Linked DNA regions of Pelodiscus sinensis. The protein of the gene in region 3 interacts with the protein of the main gene of each other region in a pairwise test. Links are inferred from orthologs where the notes say so. Each region holds a gene or a part of one and is shown on either strand. Other genes may lie near its edges.

The links.
Region 1: the proteins of RBM41 (region 3) and RALYL interact in binary tests that used the Homo sapiens proteins (3 or more experiments, as listed by UniProt). The two-hybrid records come from large-scale screens. The link is inferred for Pelodiscus sinensis from reciprocal best matches to the Homo sapiens genes RBM41 and RALYL.
Region 2: the proteins of RBM41 (region 3) and RINT1 interact in binary tests that used the Homo sapiens proteins (3 or more experiments, as listed by UniProt). The two-hybrid records come from large-scale screens. The link is inferred for Pelodiscus sinensis from reciprocal best matches to the Homo sapiens genes RBM41 and RINT1.

What each region holds. Positions count from the first base shown.
Region 1 is NC_134712.1:47,014,381-47,022,274, forward strand, and holds the start of RALYL (RNA-binding Raly-like protein), read right to left. Parts: upstream 3,086-7,894; 5' UTR 2,949-3,085; intron 2,773-2,948; exon of another isoform or gene 2,470-2,772; intron 1,607-2,469; exon of another isoform or gene 1,520-1,606; intron 1-1,519.
Region 2 is NC_134711.1:25,491,204-25,498,574, reverse strand, and holds the start of RINT1 (RAD50-interacting protein 1), read right to left. Parts: upstream 3,026-7,371; 5' UTR 3,020-3,025; coding exon 2,862-3,019; intron 2,832-2,861; exon of another isoform or gene 2,272-2,831; intron 966-2,271; coding exon 770-965; intron 526-769; coding exon 284-525; intron 1-283. Other genes in the region: PUS7 (pseudouridylate synthase 7 homolog), read right to left, coding at 6,001-6,137, 7,143-7,234. UniProt on the Homo sapiens protein: Involved in regulation of membrane traffic between the Golgi and the endoplasmic reticulum (ER); the function is proposed to depend on its association in the NRZ complex which is believed to play a role in SNARE assembly at the ER.
Region 3 is NC_134723.1:4,116,900-4,124,937, forward strand, and holds the start of RBM41 (RNA-binding protein 41), read right to left. Parts: upstream 3,092-8,038; 5' UTR 2,959-3,091; coding exon 2,951-2,958; intron 258-2,950; coding exon 141-257; intron 1-140. Other genes in the region: NUP62CL (nucleoporin-62 C-terminal-like protein), read right to left, coding at 7,249-7,340. UniProt on the Homo sapiens protein: May bind RNA.

The DNA.
Region 1 (7,894 bases), on a different chromosome or scaffold from region 3:
CTCATGCATTATTTTTCTTCCATTACAAATCTGCAGATATTTTTCATCAATATGTATGTGGATAATGAAAAGGACATTTATCAATAGTTACTGATACAAATCTAATCCTTACAAGCCTAAATCAAGGCAGAAGTCTGGGACTTCTTAAAATGTGAGTTATTGACTCTTAGTAGATTGTAACTACTCCAAAAACAGTATTATAATCTATCATGTAAATATAGTGATTTTTTGAAATATGGATTATTAACTCAATAGCAAATTAATTCTGTGTTGTTGTAAAAGCCCAGCAGGCATGTAGAATAGACACTTTTCTACACAATATAACTAAATTGCAGGGACGAGGGGGGGGAGAATCAGTTTAAAGAGCAAAGTATTTGCAAGTTCCAGGAAAGTAAATATGTATACAAAGTTTCTAACTTCCAAAGCATTTTAGTCTTATAAATGAAAAATAGACAGAATATTTCTTTTTACATCTACAAAAAAGTATTACGTAAAAGATGCTTTGTTTTCAATGCTTAAATGCTGAGGAAATTTTTCTGACCAAGTTTCCCTGAAATCTATTCATAGAGAATACACTCAACAGCATCATCACAATAAAGTGTATCACGCATAAGACTGCAGATTCAAGCATTCAGCACCTCAATTTTGATAAAATACTCAGCTCTCTCTTTCTGGAAAAAACTGAGATGGAAAACGCTTTCAATATCATATTTAGTATATCAACTTCTCTAAATCCAGAACAGTTTAGGAGCTTGTTAAGCAGCTAAGTCCTATTAAAGCAAAGTAACAGTTTCTTCCCTAATCTTGAACTTTCAGCGACAGTCAGAGAAAAAGTAGCTGATTCCTATGCCCTGTCAGACAGTAGCATTAATAATCACCAAAACAAAAGGAAACACCTCAAAATATGTATCTGCTTATAATTAATCACTACCCCAATGAGGTAAACCTGGCAGAAATGACCTGCTTTCTGCCTTGATTAGTCCTTGTTAATAAGGGGAGCATAAATTAGAAATAAGAGGATTGTTATCGTTATGGATTTGGAATATGTGTCAGACTCATATGGCAGTGAGCCAGTTTCTCTGACGGACTGCTGCTGCTGTATCTCTCACAGCCACCTATGATTTTATAATAGGCATTTTTTAAAACTCGAGTCTCTTTCTCTCTCTATTTCTCTCTCTTTTCTTCCTCACAATCCAGTCCAGTTATTTTTAAGCCCTAGACGCTCCCTGCTCATAACTTGCATCTCCCGGTTCAATTCAGGTTTGTCAGCTGGGTACCCGCATGTCTAGGATAGTACATAAACTATCACACACAGACTAACCGACCTGGGCTCAATTAGTGCAGCATTTTGGACACATTCGAGTAATCAAGAGGCAGAAATTTAGTTTCGTCTTCATTTAATTGAGAACACATATTTAGCGAGGGATCGAGAATTTTACATAATTATTATTAATAATTATTATTATTCTCGTAACGTAATTTACAAAAGAGTGGAAACGCCTACAAGGAGATGAAGTACCTGCACTGGGGAGATGTTCAGTTGTTCACTTCATCTTCCGTTGACAAGGAAACCAACCCGCACTTCATTCTCCAGGAAAACCTTCCACTGCCATCATTTTAAAATGTATTTATTTGTATATATGTGCATATCTATCATCATAATCATCATAATAAAATTATCTCGGTAAAAGAATAAAAAAGTCAAATGTGCAAAAGTAACGATCATTGCTTTGGCTTTTTTGTTTGTTTGGCTTTTTTAAGGAGGAAAAAGTATTAAAAAATGATCAACTCTAACAAGCTGCAAGAAAAGTTTCACGTTATAAACGGGCATCAAAGCAAAAAAGAACAAAAACTGCTGATTGCACCGAGTGTCAAAAAAAGGAAACAACCAAAAATAATAAAATTAACATCTTGCTCAGTGGCCTGCACCAGTATTGCAAGATCACAAACTCTTTGTAAACACTGCTGTAAAATGCATTTGCAATTCACATCTATATACAAAAAAAATAAAAATAAAAATGAAAAAACATCAAAACAACATTTGGAAAAATTCTCTGCAAAAGAGTTAGAAACATGCCTTTTCTCCTCATCTTTAAAAAAACGCACAATATTTCACATTGCTTTCTTTTTCTCGGGCCATAACAAAACCAGTTGCATATCTAGAGCTAGCGCTAATAATTGTATATATAGCTATATTTTTGCTGGACTGGTAAGTCTTAAATGTTATTGCATTGCTCAATTCCCAGTGACTCCCAGCCCCAGCAGCACCTTTTGCTCACAGTCTAGTAACCATCGCATGCTAAGAAGAAGAAGAAAAACAAAAACAAAAACAAAAAACTTGGCATCAGAAAAAGGATCAAATCCCTGGAAACAATAATCAAAGAGGAAGAAAAAAAGAAGAAAAATAAAAAAGGAAGAAAAAAACAGGACAAAAAAAGAGGACAAGAATGTCAGCGGAAAGGTACTCACCGAGCGGGAGTAAAAGAGAGGAATAAAAATGAGTTACTATAAAATACAGTATGGCGGTGGAAGAAGGAATGAGGCGCTTCCCCCCCCCCCCTCCTCTCTAGTCTCTGCCTCAGGCAGCGGACACGTGATTCGCAGCCAGGCTGACTCGCAGGCAGGGGGAAGGGGTTCGCCCCGCTGGAGCAGCCCAATTCACTCCCACGGCGGTGGCGGCGGCAGAAGCGAGCGGGAGGCTGGAGCCCGCAGCTAGCGGCAGGAGCTGGCGCCTCGGCTGCTTGCGCGGCGGCAGCAGCGCGAGCCAAGCAGGTGCCTCTCGCCCCAGCGCCACGCGCCGCACACACACCCACCCACACACACACACCCGCGCGGCTAAGTCAGGGGCGCGGGCGAGCGAGGCGGAGGGGAGTTGAAAGCGGAGACCGTGCGAGCGGGAGCAGCTGCCTGTGTGTGTATGTCGGAGCTACAACTTGCTGCCTCCTCACCTCAAAGTTATCGCTGCAGCTTCCGGTGCTCCCAAATTACCTGCTCCATAAATCTCCCCTTCTTTCTAGGTTGCCGAGGGCCGGACTGAGTGGCAAGTGTCAGTGCAAGTCAGCGCGTCTCCAGCGCCGCTCGCCACTGCACGGAGGCAGAGAGGCTGAGCGGTCGGTAGCTGTACTTTCTGCTGGGGATGGCTCGGCTCCGGCCAAGTGCAAGCCCCAAGCGATGCTTGTCCAGAGCGTGCTCACATGTTCACGTTTGCAGCTGGACAGAAATTAGAAAGTGCCGAGAGACGCGTTCATTATTTCTCTACTTTGTTTTTGCTTTCCTGGCCTCTGCTCAGTGTTTGCCTTGGTGCTGAGGGGGGCTCTTGTTTTTAATAACAAAGTTATTGGCAGAGGCAAGTCAAACAAGTGACTCCAGAAGAGCTGTTCTGGGAGAGCGCTTTGCAGGCAGCCTGTGCTAGGCAGGGAAGCAGCAATGCATCATCACGCAGACGGCTAGTTCCTCGGCAGGTTAACTCTTTCAGCTGGATGGTAGGTGAGCCTGTTGTTCCGCATCCTTGCTCATGTTTAACGGGATCCTGTGTTAGCTAAAGGGCATTCCCTATAATCAAGGATCCCTTCCTGTGCCCCTCGCTCTCCTGAGGTTTTATTCAAGAGTGACTAAAGCATGGTGTTCCAGACTATAAAGTAAGCAAGAACTATCCCAGGCTGTCACTCATACTTAAGACTGTGTGAGAGTTGTGTAGGTTTTTTGTTTACTTCAGAAGGGGCCATCATGATCATCTAGTCACAAAGCTATGTGCATTCAAACCAGGAATACACTGTGGGGGAAGTCTTCAAATCTAGGCTATATCTACTCTGGGAAAGATTGGCAACAAAAGTGTGGTCAACATGCAAAAGTGCCAAAAGTGAAAAATGGTCCAACTGGTTTTTCTGCTTCCCATTGTTGACATTCCATGGCCATATTGCTAGTACCTCCATGGACCCGCATCCCACAATGCAGTGTGTGGGAAGGCAGAGCTGATACCTGTGCTCCTTAGTTCTCCCACAACATTCTCAGATGCTGAGAGCAGCTCTGTGAATTCTCCATGCAGAGGAATGTCAAAGCAGCACAGCAGTCTCTCCAGTCTGCCCCCTGCAGTAGCAATCTGCCTGCTGCTGTGTTTCTAGCGGGACAGAACAGAAGCATTACAATGATTTGCTCTTTGTTTTTTCCCCAAACAAAGCAGCTCATTCAACTGTCGGATATTTCTCAGGGCTTTGAAAGATGAGGGGTGCATGCCTGCAGGGTAGCAGAGCTCACAAACCACAGCCATGGAAGCAGGCAGTGTGACAGAGGGAAGTCAGTTCTCTGGGGAAAAAAAGCAAACAACAGAGTCCACACTAGCTCTTTGTCGAAAATAAAAGGAGAGGAAAAGACAAAAATCTCTGGCAGGACTGGAAGTTTTTTGTTGCCAAAGCTAGATGTTTTCCCCAACAAACGTAGCACTGCAGTGTAAACACGCTTAATGTTTTGTTGCTAAAAGGCAGTTTTGAATGACAAAACATGCCAGTGAACACAAGACCCTAGATTTAAAGACTCTTAAGTTACCCACCATTTATTTTAGTTCAAACCAGCAAGTGATCTGTGTTCCATGCTGCAGAGGAAGGAGAACTTCCCTCCCCTCAGGTTTCTGTCAATCTGACTTAGGGAAAACAATCCTTCTCAACCCCAAATCAATTAGCTTAGGGGTGGGCAATAATTTTTGACAGGGGGCCACTCCAAGATTTTGGAAAGTGGTCAAGGGCCGCACTCTTCCATGATGTTAATGGAGGAGATGTGGAATCTGGGATGGAGGTAGGGTACAGAAGGGAGCTTGGGGTAATTGATTGGGATGCAGGAGGAGATTAGAGTCTGGGAGGGAGTTTGAGTGAAGGAGGCAGTTGTAACCTAGGGCAAGCAACTGAAGTGCAGGGCTTGGGGATGTGACCTAGAGTAGGAGGGTAATGTGATCTGGGAAAGAAGATTGGGGTGCCAGATCTGGAGAGGGTTTGGGTGTAAGAGGGGGACAGAGGGTTTGGGTATGTTGAGTGGGAGTCAGAGGGTTGGGGCAGGAAAGTGCTGGGGTGCTAGAAACAGGGTGTGGCCAAGAGACTTGCCTGTCAGCTGCCAAACTAGCCTGCCTGCCGAGCTTAAAACATTTCCCAGCCAGCCAGCCTGCTTCCCTGGCCATGTGCTTCATTGAATAACTGAGCCGAGAAGAGAGAGCATAGTTCTTCTTGGCTGCCTGTTATACTAACAAACAGCTCCCATTGGCTGGTTTCTAGCCAGAAACCAGCCAATGGCAGCTCCTGAAACTTCCCCCTTCCCTTCCTGTTTCAAAACAGAAATGGAGCCCTGAAGCCTCATTTGTAAATGGCACACGGGGCTGCAGGGCAAGCAGAGGAGCCTGCCTGGGGCTCCCTGCTCCCTCAGCGGGTCAGATCTGGTGGATTGGTGGGCCAGATCCATGCCACAGGCTGTATTTTGCCCAGGCCTGAGTAAATCCTCCACATTTGGGCAAGACCCACCAGCCAGATGCAGCCCTCCTTGTCTATTGTCTTCTTTCTGTCTTTTAGAGATATTTACTAATAGCAGTCATGAATGGGTCATGTGTCCTTGTGGGTAGTACAATGATTAACATCATCATCAACCATCCCCTCCATAAACTTGTCAAGTTCTGTCTTGGAACAATTTTTTTTGTTTTTTTGTTTTGTTTTGTTTTGTTTTGTTTTCCCCACAGTTTCCCTTAGAAGGCTCTTCCAAAATTTCACTCTTTGGATAGGCCTCAGAGGAGAAGTCATGCTAGTTTTTATCTGTAAAAATGTGGAGTCCTGTGGCATCTTAAAGATTTATTTGGGCATAATATTTCGTGGGTCAAAACCACTTTGTCTGATTTATGGAGTGGAAATCACAGAGGTAAGAAGTAGGGATGTAAAGGGCTAACCAGTTAACAGACAGCCCACCCGGGTTGGAGCAGACCCCCACCTGATGCAGCCTGGGGGGCGGATGCAGCCTTGTCATGGGCAGCGGTCATTTTAATCCAGCTGAGCCCACCATGCCATACCATGGCTGAGGAGTGGTCAGCCCAGCATGACAAGATAGGCCTGGCCAGGCTGGAGCAGCTCTCCAACCATGGCATGGTATGGCAGGCCTCGCCCAAGCAGCCGGTGGCATGGCAAGGGGCCACCCAGACCAGCTGGGCCCCCCGCCTGCAGGATCCTGGTTAACTGGTTAAATGTAACATATAAACCTCATATAACATATAAATGTTATGTGTAACATAAATGGCATTTTAGTCGGAAAATATATATCTTACAATAGATTTTAGAAATGTGTGTATGTCTGTCTATCTGCCTGTGAGTCTCTTCAAGAACTCCTACATAAGAACGGCCGTACTGGGTCAGACCAAAGGTCCATCTAGCCCAGTATCCTGTCTACCGACAGTGGCCAGCACCAGGTGCCCCAGAGAGGGTGGACCGAAGACAATGATCAAGCGATTTGTCTCCTGCCATCCCTCTCCAGCCTCTGACAAACAGAGGCCAAGGACACCATTTTATCCCCTGGCTAATAGCCTTTTATGGACCTAACTTCCATGAATTTATCCAGCTTCTCTTTAAACTCTATTATAGTCCTAGCCATCACAGCCTCCTCTGGCAAGGAGTTCCACAGGTTGACTACACGCTGTGTGAAGAAGAACTTTCTTTTATTAGTTTTAAACCTGCTACCCATTAATTTCATTTGGTGTCCTCTAGTTCTTCTATTATGGGAACTAATAAATAACGTTTCTTTATCAGCCCTCTCCATACCACTCATGATTTTATAGACCTCTATCATATCCCCCCTCAGTCTCCTCTTTTCTAAACTGAAAAGTTCCAGTCGCTTTAACCTCTCCTCATATGGGACCCGTTCCAAACCCCTAATCATTTTAGTTGCCCTTTTCTTAACCCTTTCCAAGGCCAAAATATCTTTTTTGAGGTGAGGAGACCACATCTGTACACAGTATTCAAGATGTGGGCGTACCATAGTTTTATACAGGGGCAGTAAGATATTCTGGGTCTTATTTTCTATCCCTTTCCTAATAATTCCTATTTGCCTTTTTGACAACCGCTGCACTCTGTGTGGAAGTTTTCAGAGAACTGTCCACGATAACTCCAAGATCTCTTTCCTGATTTGTCGTAGCCAAATTAGCCCCCATCGTACTGTATGTATAGTTGGGGTTATTTTTCCCGATGTGCATTACTTTACACTTATCCACATTAAATTTCATTTGCCATTTTGTTGCCCAATCACTCAGTTTGGTGAGATCTTCTTGGAGTCCTTCACAGTCTGCTTCTGTCTTGACTATCCTAGACAGTTTGGTATCATCTGCAAACTTTACTACCTCACTGCTTACCCCTTTCTCCAGATCATTTATGAATAAGTTGAAAAGGATTGGTCCCAGGACTGACCCTTGGGGTGCACCACTAGTTACCCCTCTCCAATCTGAAAATTTACCATTTATTCCTACCCTTTGTTTCCTGTCTTTTAACCAGTTCTCAATTCAAGAAAGGACTTTCCCTCTTATCCCATGGCCATGTAATTTACACAAGAGCCTTTGGTGAGGGACCTTGTCAAAGGCTTTCTGAAAATCCAAGTATACTATATCTACTGGATCCCCCTTGTCCGCATGTTTGTTAACTCCTTCAAAGAACTCTATGGGTATGTCTACACTACCCCGCTAGTTCGAACTAGCGGGGTAATGTAGGCATACTGCACTTGCAAATGAAGCCCGGGATTTGAATTTCCCAGGCTTAATTTGCATAAGCGGGGAGCCGCCATTTTTAAAACTCCGCTGGTTCGTACCCCGTGCAGCGCGGCTACACGGGGCACGAACTAGGTAGTTCGAACTAGGCTTCCTAGTTCGAACTACCGTTACTCCGCG
Region 2 (7,371 bases), on a different chromosome or scaffold from region 3:
GTGACAAACGCCACATTTTCTACATTAGACAGTAAACTGTGACCCTTTCATTCCCATGTCCAAAATACATCACCAAATTTAGTTACAAATGAAAGTAATGGCATTATCAATATGAGATCTGAATGTTCAGTCGGTAGCTGAATTAGCAAGAGTTATAACTGTCTGCATTTAAAAATACAGATTTATAACTCCAAAATTGTCTCAAATGTATTTAACACCACTTAAGCTCTAAACAAAATACAAGGCAACAAGATAGGCCAACCTGGCCTTCTAACTATTTTACCTTAACTCTTCTATTTGTGAAATCCATTTTAGATAAGCCAGGTGTCGTTCAACCTCTTCTATTTGACTAATCAGTACACCGAGATCCTTCATCCATGGCTGAGCTGTCAATAGGTGGCTATTAATTGAACCAAATAAAACAGTTTCTTCCTCCAGAAGCTGATTAAGAGACGTCTTAGAATCCTCTGCATTCTTTAAGGCCTTCTGAATTCTTTTGGGAACTTCTGATGAAACGGTAAGTACCTGTGTTTAGGAAGGAGCAATGCATCTGACACAGAAGTACTGAGACCTTTCTTTCAGTGATCAAACAAATGTGTCTTTCATAGATTTTCATGCATAACAAAGTGCAAGAGATAATCATAACATGACAGCTTAGCTGACATTGTGTGGCAAGTTACCAAAATGTGCTGATGTGACCAGATGTATGCAATTGATGGTACATTTTTATTGTTTTAAGGACTTGAGAAATAACTAATCTAATGCTTACCTGTTCCTCTAATTGCTTTTTATTTTCTGAAAGCTCCTCTATAAGTTTGCCAAGTTTCCTTAGGCAATTAAGGTCAGTTCCAACTTCTCTTTCAACAAATTCAGCTACATAATAAGGGATGTCACAGCTATCGGGGTCTCTAACGAATTGTTCCCTTCCAACATTAATGGCCGCCATGTTTACATCACCTGCAGGACTGAGTTAAAGAGTCTACGGTTAGCCATCACCCACACAGCACTATTAACCACCATAAACCATCATATGTAATGGGCCAAACAAAATTTCATCTTAAAAATTTCAATTCAGTTCAAATCAATTAAAAATACCATCTTCCATTCAACTACACAAATGCTTAAAGATAGCCACATGCATAAGTCTTGGCAGAACCAGGGCTTAAGTTTACAAAATGATATTATTATACACACTACTAAGGACATTATACCATTATATCACTCAACAGAACTGAAACATTCCAACTATGCAGAGAAATCAGTCAGCTTTCACTCAGAATACTGCATTTTTTTCTAAAACCAAATTCAATGTTTTTACGTCTGTGCTAGATGGTATGTATAAAAATATTGGAATAGGTACAGATGACTTCCCTCACCCCTACACATAGTAAAAATGTTCCAGCACTTTTAACTGGTGGATATATCATTGCTAATAGAGGAGTGTCCTGGTAAACATCAGCTAGTTACCTGGTTTAATATTCACATCCCTACTTTTTATAGCACAAGTTTTATTTTCTTTCTTCTAACTATGAACATGCCTTAGACGGCACTACTCAACTCTGGAAGCCCCAGGGGCCACAATTATACTCACAGCAAGTGCTGAGGGCCGCAACATTACTGTGGTAGCATACACATGCAAATATATATGCAAATATATGCCAATAGCTTATTTAAAACTGACAGACATGAATACAAAGATTAAGGCAAGACTACACAACACACAGGCACAATTTAAGTCAGTTCTGCTATTTATAAAATGCAGTATTTATCCGATTTCCACCCATATGAGAGCACTTTTAATGAACAATGACAGTCCAGGAATTTAACTACTAAAACGCATATCAACAGGAGACCATTATATAGAATACTTTTTTGTTTCGGCTCCCATCCATCGGCCCCAGGCCGCATGTTGAGTAGCCCTGTCTTGGACACTACTGTGAACCTAATGTCATGAAGAAAACTTTGCTGTTACCTAAAATCTATTTCACTACTACTAGCCTATATATAGTCTTAACTGAAAAACTCTGAAGACAAAGACTGAATATTTTGGAATATTGTTTTTCACTTATGATATTACAGCATGATCGCAGAAGGTAATTTCTATAAAGCCTTTATTACCATATGATAACATACTAAAAAGTATGTTATAACAAAATCATTTTACCAATCACTATTTCCACTCAAATTTTTCATTACTCTTAGGCATGCTCATTGCATGACTATTTTGAATGCTTATACATTTTTTAAAAATTGCAGATCTACACAGAGTACCTTTTACTGAAAGCAAAAGGTCACACGGCTTGTGGTGACTCTTAATTGCTGTAGAAATTCATTCCACCATCTTGGACCAAGCCCCAGACAGCACTGTGTTCTGGACTCTGGATTATGAGGCCCAGAGTAATTACATTCTCCTAGTGTTCAATGCATGATGTTGAGCTAAGCAGAACAGGCCCAGTTTCAAGGCAGGTCTGCACTACTGTACCAAACTGGCCGCCTCTACATCAATGCAGCAGCCCTAATGTAACGAGTCTGGCGAAGATGCTACACTGCCTGAGGACTAATTACTCCAGCTCAAGGAGAAGCGGGAGTTATACCAGAAGGAGAGTGCTGCCTGTCAACATAGAGCTGGCCCGGCTCTACACCTAGATGTAGACACTGCTTTAAAACAATGTAAACGTGTGTGTGTGTGGGGGGCATTTTCACTTCACCCCACTCCTCCCAGCGACATAACTAAAACTCCTCCCGCGCCGTGTAAACCCTCAGCAAGTCTTAACGACCCACTGCTCCAGAGAAGCGGGCGCACAATGACGATCCGCCACGCAGGGCGACTCGAGCAAACCCTCCTCCCCTCCGCTGCTCACTGGAGAGAGAGGCAGGGTAGCTGCTGCTCCTCCACCCCACCCGCTCTGACAGGGAGAAGAGAGCGTCTCGCCAACCACGGGGGCTCCTCAGCCTGCCGCGCTCCCTCTGGCCCCGCACGCTGTTCGCCCGCCCATGGTACCGAGTAGCGCCCCCGCATGCAGCCCTGCTCCCTACCAAGCCCCGCTGCCTGCCGGGAGCTAAGTCCCCCTCACCCGCTGACATCAGGCGCGAGCGCCGCTCTACCGGCTCGCCAGGGCACGGGCCCGATTTACTCACGCGCCACTGATCGCCTACGGGCTGGGCTGGGCTAAGCTGCCCGGCCCCCTCTCCTCTCCAGTTCCGTCCCTGCCTATAGCCGCCTAAGGGCGGCCGGAAACCCTCGCGGAGTCCCGCGAGAAGTGGGCAGAGTCAGGGAGGAGGGGAAGCGGAAGGCTATTACTCTCGGAAGCCTCTGTCCAGCCCATCAAGATCACGTGCTGACAGCCCTGCCACTCAAGACGCATGCGCGGTGAGAAATCCGCTCGTGTCACTATGTCGTTGTCGCCATCTGTAGCGCGAGGACGCTCTGGATTTTACGGCGCGAGCTGAGCCGGTTGATGCCTCGCTTTGGGGACAGTGGGTCTGGGGGAGCCTGGCCCTAGGTCTCCGAGCCCCAGGCACAGGGAGGGAGCGGATCACGTCCTGTCTCGCGACGCTGCGAACTCGCGCCTGCGCGCCCTGCGGTTGGGTTGCCGGACTGCAGCCGTTATGTCAATGGAAAGTGGGGGCTGGGGGCATAGGGGGTTCTAGGCCTCTTTGCAGTTAACGGGAGGCTCATATAGAATCATAGAGCTGGAAGAGACCAAAGGCAGGACCAGCCCCAACTAGATCAACCCAGCCAGGGCTTTGTCAAGCCGAGACTTAAACACCTCTAGGGATGGAGACTTCACCTCCCTACTAACCCATTCCAGTGCTTCACCATCTCCTACTGGAATAGTTTTTCCTAATATCCAACCTAGACCTCCCCCACTGTAACATGAGACCATTGCTCCTTGTTCTGCCATCTGTCACTACTGTGAACAGCCTCTCTCCATCCTCTTTGAAACCTCCCTTCAGGAAGTTGAAGGCTGCTATCAAATCCCCCATCTCTTCTGCAGACTAAACAGACCCAAATCCCTCAGTCTCTCCCTCATAGGTCATGCACTCCAGCCTCCTAATAGTTTTGGTCACCCTCCGCTGGCCCCTCTCCAATGTGTCCACATCCTTTCTACAGTGGGGGGCCCAGAACTGGACACAATACTCCAGTTGTGGCCTCACCAGAGCTGAATAAAGGGGAATAATCACTTCTGGATCTGCTGGCAATGCTCCTCCTAATGCACCCTAATATGCCATTAGCCCTCTTCACTACAAGGGCACACTGTTGACTCATATCCTGCTTCTCATCCACTGTAATCCCCAGGACCTTTTCTGCAGAACTACTACTTAGCGATTCGGTCCCCAGCCTGTAACAATGCCTGGGATTCTTCCGTCCCAAGTGCAGGACTCTACACATGTCCTCGTTGAACCTCATCAGATCTCTTTTGGCCCAATCCTCTAATCTGTTTAGGTCACTCTGGACCCTATCCCTTCCCCCCAGCTTAGTGTCATCTGCAAACTATCCATCCTTTCATCCAGGTCATTAATAAAGATGTTGAACAAAACCTGTCCTAGAACAGATCCTTGGGGCACTCCGCTAGAAAACCAACCTGACATCGAGCCATTGATTACTACCCACTGGGCCAGACAGTCTAGCCAGCTTTCTATCCATCTTACAGTCCATTTATCCAATCCATATTCCCTTAACTTGCTAGCAAGAATATTGTGGAAGATCGTATCAAAGCCTTTGCTCTATTGTGACAGGGGCGTGTGTGCCTGTGCATGTGTGTGAGAGAGATCATTGTAACAGTGGAGCTATGCATCCAAGGATTGATTCAGTTGTTCTGGTTGGGTCTCATGCTTTGATCTGCTATATCCTGGTTTCTAATTATGACCATAGAGAGGTTGGGAGGTTATTTGAAGGTGAGAAAAAAAGGCTCATGAAAGATTTCTCTGATACCCATATGGGTTCAAGGTGGGAGGAGAAAGGCGGTAACTAGAGGTGTATGTGGTCAGAGGGGTTTTTATTTCTGTACTAAAGCAGGTTCTCTTACCGTATGGGGCTGGCAACACTGCATATTTTCCTAAAAGTGAGGTGCTAACATTTTCATATTGTTGGTATGCAAAATCTTATTCAGTTTTTTATAAAAATGACAGTGCAAAGTGTCATATTTAACAATTTATTAACACAAGAAGCACAAACAGGTTTCTTATTTGTTTGGTTTTAGAAATTATAAAGTAAAAATGTAACCTAACTGCTGTCAATTGTTTTAGAATGGCTTTTTAATCCTTTTATGCCAAGACACAGATTTGCTTTCCTTATCCATTGCCGGCAACGGACACACTAATCATGCTGGTGCAAAGGAGTTGATATGAACTCTCATCAGGGCTTTTTGGTTAACTTGTTTTCATTATCTGTTCTTTGATACAGGTAGTACTAGTGATGAGGGAAAATGCACACAAATATTTTCATAATAAAATTTACAGCTCAACTTATAAAAACAGATGTACATGTTTATATCACATAAAAGGCACAAAAAATTCTGCCAGTAGACTCCTTTACCACATCAGTGCTAAAGCTACTGGCCTTCTAAGGCTACATTAATGTACTCCTTTTTATAAATATTCATCAGTGCCATACTTATTCTAATTAGCATTCCTCATCTGTAATGTAAGCATACTTCAAGAAGTTTTATTCTGTGCTGAATTCATGAAAGCATGTTGAATAATCACTGTATTTTTGGAAAAACAATTACTGAAGATCTGGAATTGCTATTGTAAGCCCATTTATTTGTAAGATATGGTTGGTTGTGCTACAGCTCAAGCACCTTATTTACTTATCATAATGTTAAAAATCTAATATTTATATTATTTTTACAAACACCATTTTGGATATAATCACTGAAACTAATAAAAAAGTAAAATATAAATTTTTGCTACAAATCTTCAAATCAAAACTAGAGTTTGCACAGAACAAATAAATTTTCACATCTTAAAATCTTTACATTACTTTAGAGCATTTGTTCAGCGTAACCATGTAGTATTCAGCTGTGTCTGGTTTTTTATGCTTGTGTCCATTTTTAGAACTTCTCGAATTGCCATGGTAGCATAAGTGGATGGGGGAAGAGAGAATTCCATCTTCAAAGCCTTGAATTTACCTTCTATTACATAAGAAAGGAAAGAATAATTGGCACATATAGTATATCTCCTCTGGGCATTATTTAAATTGGGCTGAAGGGCATGTGCAATTTAAGAAATCCAAAAATTCATTTATCAACCACTGAAATGTTCTGTGAAATTCAATCAATGCTACAACTTTCACGTAAGTGGCAGATGTGTGATGCAGAGTTTGCCCACAATGGAAAAAGTAAAGTTTTATTATTTATGGTAGCTAATTTTATTTTAAAATTCTTCCTTTTTGTCATACAACAATTTGATATTTCAAGTCTATTTTCCTCTCCTTCCTACAACCCAGGACTGAAGTAGTAAGGCCTATATGTCATAGTTGGATGTGTACTTTATTCAAAAGTTTCTATAACAGAATCATGAGATGTTAAAGTTCTTAAACTTTTAAACTATACTAATTCTCCTAGAAACAAATATTACATTTAGTAATTCCAGTTTTAACAAATAATATTTGAGATACTCTTCCGCTATCATATTATCAATCCTATTGTAAGCATTTTCTCAGTTATAATTTTAGCCCCACCCACAGTTAGGTAAAACACTAATCCATGCACTTAAAGCACACAAGTCTCCCACTGAACTTCAATTAAGCACAAAAGAAATCCCAATAAAGTTGAAGGAGAATATTCACATGCTTGAAGTCAAGCACATGGTGAAGTGCTTTGCTGAATTCTGGCCTAAGTCTGTCCCTCTTGTGCTTAATGCTAAGCATATGCATTTAATTTTCTACACAGTATAATGTAGTTAGTATGATTTGCTGAGCAAATGCTTGTACTTTTGAGAATCAGGTGACTTATTTAGGAGACTAATTTTAAGCACATCCTTTTGAACATTATAGGTTGATGTTTTGTCAAATATAACCTATTTATGTTTACATTCAACGTGTGTGATATGTAGCAGTTACAACTTCAAAGCAGTAGTTAGGTCAAACTTTATACTTAACAGTGTATAAATACCTGCAGAAAAGTTGTTACTCTTACCTGTAGCAAGAATAGGTGGTGGTTTTCCTTCCAGCTTATCCAAATCAGTATTAAATAATGGAATTCTAGGATCATCATATGCAACCACCTCCCTTTATGAAACACAGGGCAAAGGTGTTTTTTTTATTTTGAAATATTCAGTGAGACTGCATTCACCTCTGAATTTACACCCATTATTGTAATAATATTTCTATACACTATATTGCAAGGTATTATTTGAAAACTAATA
Region 3 (8,038 bases):
ACTCGCCTACACCAATATCTCAGCAGCCGCATGCGACAGCATCAATGCTGCTCCAGAATCAGAACGTGCTCTGTCCGCCAGCATGGGAGGCCATCAGCTACACCAGCCTCTTGTGCGTAGCCGGCTGGTTCAATACTCACTGTTCAATGGAAACAGCAGTCTCAAGCTGATGGTGAAGGAGGCTCTTCAGCTGCCGCTCTCCTTCTGTCTCCAAATCCTCCAGAAGAAGGTCATCACTAGACAGGCTGCTGTTGACCCTGGGCTCAGAAAAAAAACAGCGAGTAAGTCAGTAAGTTGCCGAGAGTGCTTTACTCCCTACACCTCCACATCAAGCGTATTCATATTCTGCTTTCCAGCCCTTTGTTAGAACACAAGGAAATCAGTGAGATAGTCCAGATGGGCTATCCAGAACAAGAGGGAACTAGAAATAACCGGCAAGGCAGAATGCCTCACTGATGTCCATTAGAAAGATGCACAGATGATTTTTAAAATATCCCACAAGCATCATCTTTTTAGTCATCCGTCATCCTGTAATGTTTAGTTACAGAAGATCTACTTTCATAAATGACTCCTGCCTAGCTTCAAATGATTCAGTGCAAAAAGGAAAAAAAAGCAACCTCCAAATCAAACACAAAGCCAGCGGAGACGGTCAAAGAAAGCAGGAAGTTGGCGGCATGCTAGAACGTAGTTACAAACTGGATTAGCAACCGGCCTTTCTTAAGGGAGAACTTGCTCCATGCATGGAATAGTGCCCCACGTTTGTTATTTCGTACCGAATTTTAAAGGCCATTGTTATCTACTGTTCTGTGATTGTTTCCGTCTCTCAGCGCCTGTACCAAGGTCAGAATAGGGGACGGGAAGAAATTGCTGATTTACTTCTCAAGCCCCATTCACAATCTTAAAGGCTGTTTCTGCTGAAGTGGTGAGCAGTGAAATGGTAACAGCGCAGACGTCTGACCCGTATTACGATTTAGGCTTTAATACTGTATTGGTATGAATGAAGCAGCCCACTACTATCTTCGGGCCGCTGTTGTCAGGCTGCCTCTCAGCTCAGGCGGTGAGCCAGGCACTGGGCAACATCTGGGCTTCTCCACAACAATCACAGCTAGAAACTTCCATTTGTTTTGAAATGAAAGCTTCAATTCCGTTGACCCCTAGAGACGCGCTGGTATAAGAGCAGCCACACGGATCAGAGCAATGGTCCATCAAGGCCAATATGCTCTTTCTGACCTTGGCTGGTACTAGATGCTTCAGAGGGAATGAACAAGACAGGGCCAATTTCAATTGATCCAGCCCAGTGTCCAGGCTTTCTGGCAATCAGAGGTTTCAGGACATGCTCATCATGGAGTTGGGCTCCTGATCACCTTGGCTAATTGGCACTGATGGCTCTATCCTCCATGAACTAATCTCTTCTGAACCCAGTTATACTTTTGGCCTTCACAACAGACTTTGCAAACAAGTTCCACAGACTGACCGTGCATTGGGTGAAGACCTACTTCCTTATGTTTGTTTTAAGCCTGCTGCCTACTAATTTCATTGGACGACTCCTAGTTCTTGTTATGTGATGGGGTAATGCCTTCCCGATTCGCTTTCTCTGCACCATGCGTAATAGTATAGACTTCTGTCATATCTGCTCATAGTCATCTCTTTGCTCAGATGCACTGTGCCAGGCCTTTTAATTTCTCCTCAGAGGGAAGTTGTTCCCTTATCATTTTTGTTGCCCTTCTCACTGCTTTTTCCAGTTCTTGTATTCTTTTTAGAGGTGGGGCAACCAGAACTGCACCCAGTATTCAAGGTGTGGGCATATTTGTACAGCTGCATTATGATCTTTTATTTTATCTTCTATTATTGGTTGTCGTGCCAGCTTAGTCTGGAGCCCTGTGTTAAACTGGAACTTCCTTTTAAAAAATCTCTACCAGAGTTTGCCCTTGGGAAAGACGCCCCCGCATCTCACCGAAGCTTTTAGCGTATCGTGTCAAGGGTACTGAAAGGGACCGGAGATGTCCTTGCCCTGTCTTGCTTCCAGGCTTTAAGAAAAACGCTAAGTATTGTGGGATTCGCACAAGATACAATCACAAGTGTTGGCAACGCTGGGATTCCTGTACAAACAGCTGCCTGCATTAGTCTCACAGGAAACTGTGTACAAGGAAACCATCCCCCCAGAGCGCCCTCAACCCCCACTCTTCCTCCCCCAGAGCACCCCCAACTCCACAGCCCCTACCCCCCATCCTTCCTCCCAGAGCACCCCATCCTTCCTCCCCCACCTCCCCTCCGTGCACCCCGAACTCCACAGCCCTCCATTCTTCCTCCCAGAGCACCCCATCCTTCCTCCCCTACCTCTCCTCCCCTGAGTGCACCCCAAACTCCACAGGCCCTACCTCCCATCCTTCCTCCCAGAGCACCCCATCCTTCCTCCCCCACCTCCCCTCCGTGCACCCCGAACTCCACAGCCCCCCATTCTTCCTCCCAGAGCACCCCATCCTTCCTCCCCCACCTCCTCTCTGTGCACCCCGAACTCCACAGCCCTCCATCCTTCCTCCCATAGCACCCCATCCTTCCTCCCCCACCTCCCCTCCGTGCACCCCGAACTCCACAGCCCCCCATCCTTCCTCCCAGAGCACCCCATTCTTCCTCCCCTACCTCCCCTCCCCTGAGTGCACCCCAAACTCCACAGCCTCTATCCCCATCCTTCCTCCCGAGTGCACCCCGAACTCCACAGGCCCTACCCCCATCCTTCCTCCCCCACCTCCCCTCCGTGCACCCCGAACTCCACAGCCCCCCATCCTTCCTCCCAGAGCACCCCAATGCTGCATCCCCAGCCTTCCTCCCCCCGCTGCCCCTCCCCTGAGTGCACCCCGAACTCCACGCTCTCCCCCCCCCCCCCGCATCTCCCTTCTTCCCCAGCGCAGCGCCCGTCCGGCTACATGATTCCCGGAAGCCTCCCCCTCACCTGCGCATGGCTCCGGCCCCTTCCAGCTCAGGGCCTGGACTGCAACTCCCAGCAGCACCGCGCAACCCGCGTGAACGAGCGAGGCGGGCCCCGCCCCATGGGCTTCTGGGAGTTGTAGTACAGTGAAGCTCAGCCCTGCCCCCGTCGCTAACCCGCAGGGGAGTCCTGCAAGCTGGCAACACGGGGGCCTGTCCTCTTCTTCCCTGCGCCCAGCCCTGCTCCCCATGCAGCAGATCCCAGGGGCTTCCTCACAGCTAGATTGGGGTGCCTGAGCCCCAGCATGGCCTGCTATTAGTCAGCATGTTGAGTATGGTGTGACAGGCACCAGCCATGATCGAGCCAAGCGCCATACAGACACCAGCAAGTCCTTCTTACACTGAGGCTGGGTCTAGACTGGCAAGTTTTTCCGCAAAAACAAACGCTTTTGTGGAAAAACTTGCCAGCTGTCTACACTGGCCGCTTGAATTTCTGCAAGAACAGACTTCTTACTGTCTGAAATCAGTGCTTCTTGCAGAAATACTATGCTGCTCCCGTTCAGGCAAAAGTCCTTCTGCGCAAAAGGGCCAGTGTAGACAGCTCAGATTTGTTTTGCACAAAAAAGACCCGATCGCAAAAATGGCGATCAGGGCTTTTTTGCGGAAAAGCCTCTAGATTGGCACAGATGCTTTTCCGCAAAAAGGGCTTTATATGTATAGCAACTGCAGGCCTGTTCCTGACCGGGCACTAGTGTAACTTCAGGGGGTAGCTGAGTTAGTCTGTACAGGATAAACTTAAAAAACAACAAATAGTCTGGTAGCACTTTAAAGACTCACAAAACATGTGGATGGGATCATGAGCTGTTGTGGTCTGAAGAAGTGGGCTGTGCGCACAAAAGCTCGTGATACCATACGTTTTGTTAGTCTTTAAAGTGCTACCAGACTATTAGTTGTTTTTTAAGCTTATTAACCTCAGCAAACATCAGGAGCATCAGCTCAAGTGATGGGTCAGCTAAAGTGATAGGACAAACCAATGGAGAGGGAAGGGTAGACTGTATTACCAGCTCTATCTTGCAATCTTATAAGTCAAGCCTGCCGAACTCGGAAAGCAACAAGGGCCATATTACTCCAAAGAAGACAGCTGCGGGCCACAAGTCTACACTTGGCCCCATGACATTTCGTCTCTCCTTCACCCTATCCCCGCTTGGTGTCTTCCCCTTTCTCCTGACCTGCCCCTCTCCCCTCAGCACAAGCCCCTTCTCCTCCCCTACCTGGCTTCTGCCTTTTTGAATCCAGCGATCACTGACCGTGACATCATGTCACGCCAGCGTCCTGGCATCTGCCAGCATCCCGCCCTCTGGCTCACACCCCGCCTCCTCGCGCCAGAGCTGCACCTAGGCAGCCTGGTGGCGATAATCACACTTCCCGCTCCCCTTCTCTGTCCAGCCAGCGGATCGGATGGGGCCACACAGTGAGCCCCTGCGGGCTGCATGTTGTGCAGGCCTGATGTAGATGGTATCATGAGCTTTTGTAGGCACAGCCCACTTCTTCAGACCATGACAGCTCACAATACCATCTACAAGTTTTGTTAGTCTTTAAAGTGCTACCAGACTATTGGTTGTTTAAGTTTATTAACCTCAGTAAACATCAGGAGCATCAGCTAAAGTGATGGGCCAGCTAAAGCGATAGGGCAAACCAAGGGAGAGGGAAGGGTAGACTGTATTACCAACTCTATCTTTCAATCTTATAAGTTGGCTGGAGACAGTCATTTCTACTCCATGACGCTGAGTTAGAGAGCACTGAGAAGGGAAGCTGCATCTCTCCAGCCTATCAGCATGCCTGGTGTTTGTTTTCTTATTAGTGCAACAGTAAATTCTATACACCTTGTATCTGAGCAAATCTTTGTACAAACTAAGCTCAATCCAGTTTCACCACCTTCCTACAAACAACATATAAATTCAGTCTAAAACAACAAAGAATATAGATGTCCACTGCCACTTGCCCCCATGGTCCACATATGGTATAGAATTCATTGAACACTACAAGTGCTCAAGAATAAGACCCAGATCAACAAATACATTCAGGTTCCTAATTTCCACTGAAGTCAAATATCTTTGTGGATCTGGGGCTAAGTTAAGGTGGACAATAAGCATCCCATGGGCTGAGCCACAACTTTCCCCAGCTCTCATTGGCTGGGAACAGCAAACCATGATCAATGGGAACTGCAAGAGGCCATACCTGTGGACCTGCAGGTAAATAAAGTATCTGGCAGTCTGCCAGAGGCTAACCGTGGCAGACCACATGTGGCCCATGGCTGCTTATTGCCCACCCCAGGGCTAAGTGTTGCTGAAATGCCAATTTTCCTCTGAAGAGACAAGGTGAGTGAAGTAACATCTTTCATTAGGCCAGCTGATGTTGATGCAAGACTATGTTCAAGCTATATACAGTGTGACAGCACGTTGGGGTTTTCCCGTTTCCTGCACCCCCGTAATGGCACGGACAGACTCCACCAGCCAGTAGAATAGAGGGCGTTTATTGCTCCTCCAGGATACAGCACAGCACAGCACAGATGTAATCTGGTTACAGGGCCTGGGGCTAAGAGGCCTCAGTGCCCCTCCTTGAGATGGGGGGTAGCTGGGCCCTACAATCCCAACCCCCTCCCTAGCTCCTTCTCCCCTGCTTCCCAGACAGCCACTAAAGACCCGTCCCTGCCAGCCCTGCCCCCAGCCAGGGGCAGCATTCCACCTTCCTTTGTTCCGCTCTCTGGGGGGTAACTGGTCGAACAGGTCACCTCCCTGTCCCATCAGCTACTCTACTGGGCCGTGGTACAGACAGCAGCCAGTGTGGCTCACTCACAGCCCAAGCCTAGCAATCAGCAAGGTACCCCCACTAGTCACAAACAGCTCTTCAGGTCTTGGAGTAACTCAAAAACTTGTTTCTTTCACCAACATCAGCCTGTCCAATAAAATATATTTATCATCTCACCCACTTTCTCTAACCCTAGGGACCAGGACACCTCCAACAATTTACCTGCAATCTCATGATCTTTGAATCAGAAAAGAAAATGCATAGAATTATGACATCTCAGAAAAGACTGGGATACAAGCATGAAGGGAGCACCCAACTTATTGCAGATGGCAGAATGCAGGCCGTGGTTTCAGAAGTGGAAACAGGCCCAGTTTAGCATGGATTAGTTTAAGTAAACAAGCAGGAACCTTTGTTTTAATTTACCACTTTCAACCTTGTTTTACATTAGTAGTTTAGTTGGTTTGCTAAAGAGAGGCTGATTCTTATTAGAGCAATGTTATGCAACAAAATACACTAAATGTGGTACTTTTGGCTCATCAGGATACACTATTTATACACATTTAAATCATTTTATATCTTACAATAAAAGATTAATATTTACTCAGGTCAGAAAATGGTAAATAGTACACTTCTTTAGTAGATTACATTTTCACATGTGATTGCTGTCAAGCTCTATTTATGGAATGTGGAATTCAATTAAAAATGTCCCCGAACCCCAACATTTTAGTTTTATTTAACCAAAGAAAAAACAAACTTACAAGTGCTAGATACATAAGAAAAGAAGTTTATCAAAACCTGTTTGCATTTAAAACTTATTAAAACAAAGGAAGTATTATCTGTACTTGAATGGAACTATTGCTTCTGGTCACCATCTGCTCACACTTTGTCATAGAGTGGAAGAGAAAACAAGCAGGCCCTGGCTCCACCTCAACTCCCAATCATCTTAACATTTAATGAACTAATCACTGAACTGAAACAGTTGAATAAGCTGAAATGAACTAAATGTTATCTGCACAAGAGGCTATTGCTTTCCAAAGCTGGTTTACCACTTTAACAAACTGGTTAAAGTCACTTTGCCAGTGACTTCCATCAGTTTGATGATCTGACTCAGTGGCAAACATGAAATAACTTTTTCAAAATGCAAGTAATACAATAGCATATGCAAAGCTTAGATCTGAATGTACATCGTCATAAGTCCGATTTTAATGTAATACTGAGCTGGAGAGGTTATCCCTGTCACTTCTTGGGGTTTAAAATATTCTAAAAAGTCAGCAAACAATAACTGAGTTAAATGAATGAAACATATGTACAAAAAAAAATTCACAGAAATGCTGCAGAACTAAGAAGCTCCATGCAATCTATGGTGTGAATCAGTATAGGAGGTTTGACACAAAAAAGCACTTTATTAAAACAAAAAAACACCAAGAGGATATCACAATTTTACTCCATTTTCGCAAAGTTTTTACATAATGGCTATCCAGTAAATATTATAGCAGTAGCGATTTCTTGGATTGCTCAATCAAACGTGATCCGAAAACTGCGTTCCTGTTCCTTTCGGCGGCTCTCGCAAACTTTCGTCACCTCCTCCACTTTCCTCTGCAGCAGAGCTGTTGGGAGAGTGCAAAAAAACCCACAATACATGCATGTTTTTCATAAGAAGCATCCGTGGGCAGTACAGATCTGGAGGAGAGAAGAGTGTCCCAAAGACCGAGGATCAAAGGTTAAGACAGGTTTTGGAAAAGGAAGGGAGATGAAACCCAGCACAGGATACTGCTGATCTGCTCAAAGTACAGTACACTGGATGGCTAGGATGGCAGAAGAAACCAAATGGACAAGCCTAAGAGGACATTTCAGCCACTGCTCCAATCTTCCTTGCTCACCCAACTTCAATTTGATTTACGTCCGAACAACAGAAATTAATTACCTTTTCAGCATTTTTTTTTTTTTTACCAAGTCAGAAACTAAACACTTGCTAAACCTAAGTAGCCAGATCTGGCTCCGTACTTGAAAATACACAAATCACACTTCATACACTATCCTCTCAGCTCCCTTCATGACCTATAATCCATTCTGCTACAATTTTCAGTGGTTACTTAATTAACCGCTTTTTAACATCCCTAGTTACAATTGTCTAGAAAAACTGATTTGTTTTCATGAAGTGGCCCTGAAGGTGTTTTAGGGAATGGGATTTACAAACTTGTGAAGAGTCTCTGATTCTAGAAACTACACTGCACCCAGTCCCATCAATGGGACAAGCCATTTTGGCTGTCAAAGAAGGGGATATGTGATGGATGAGTATAAATAA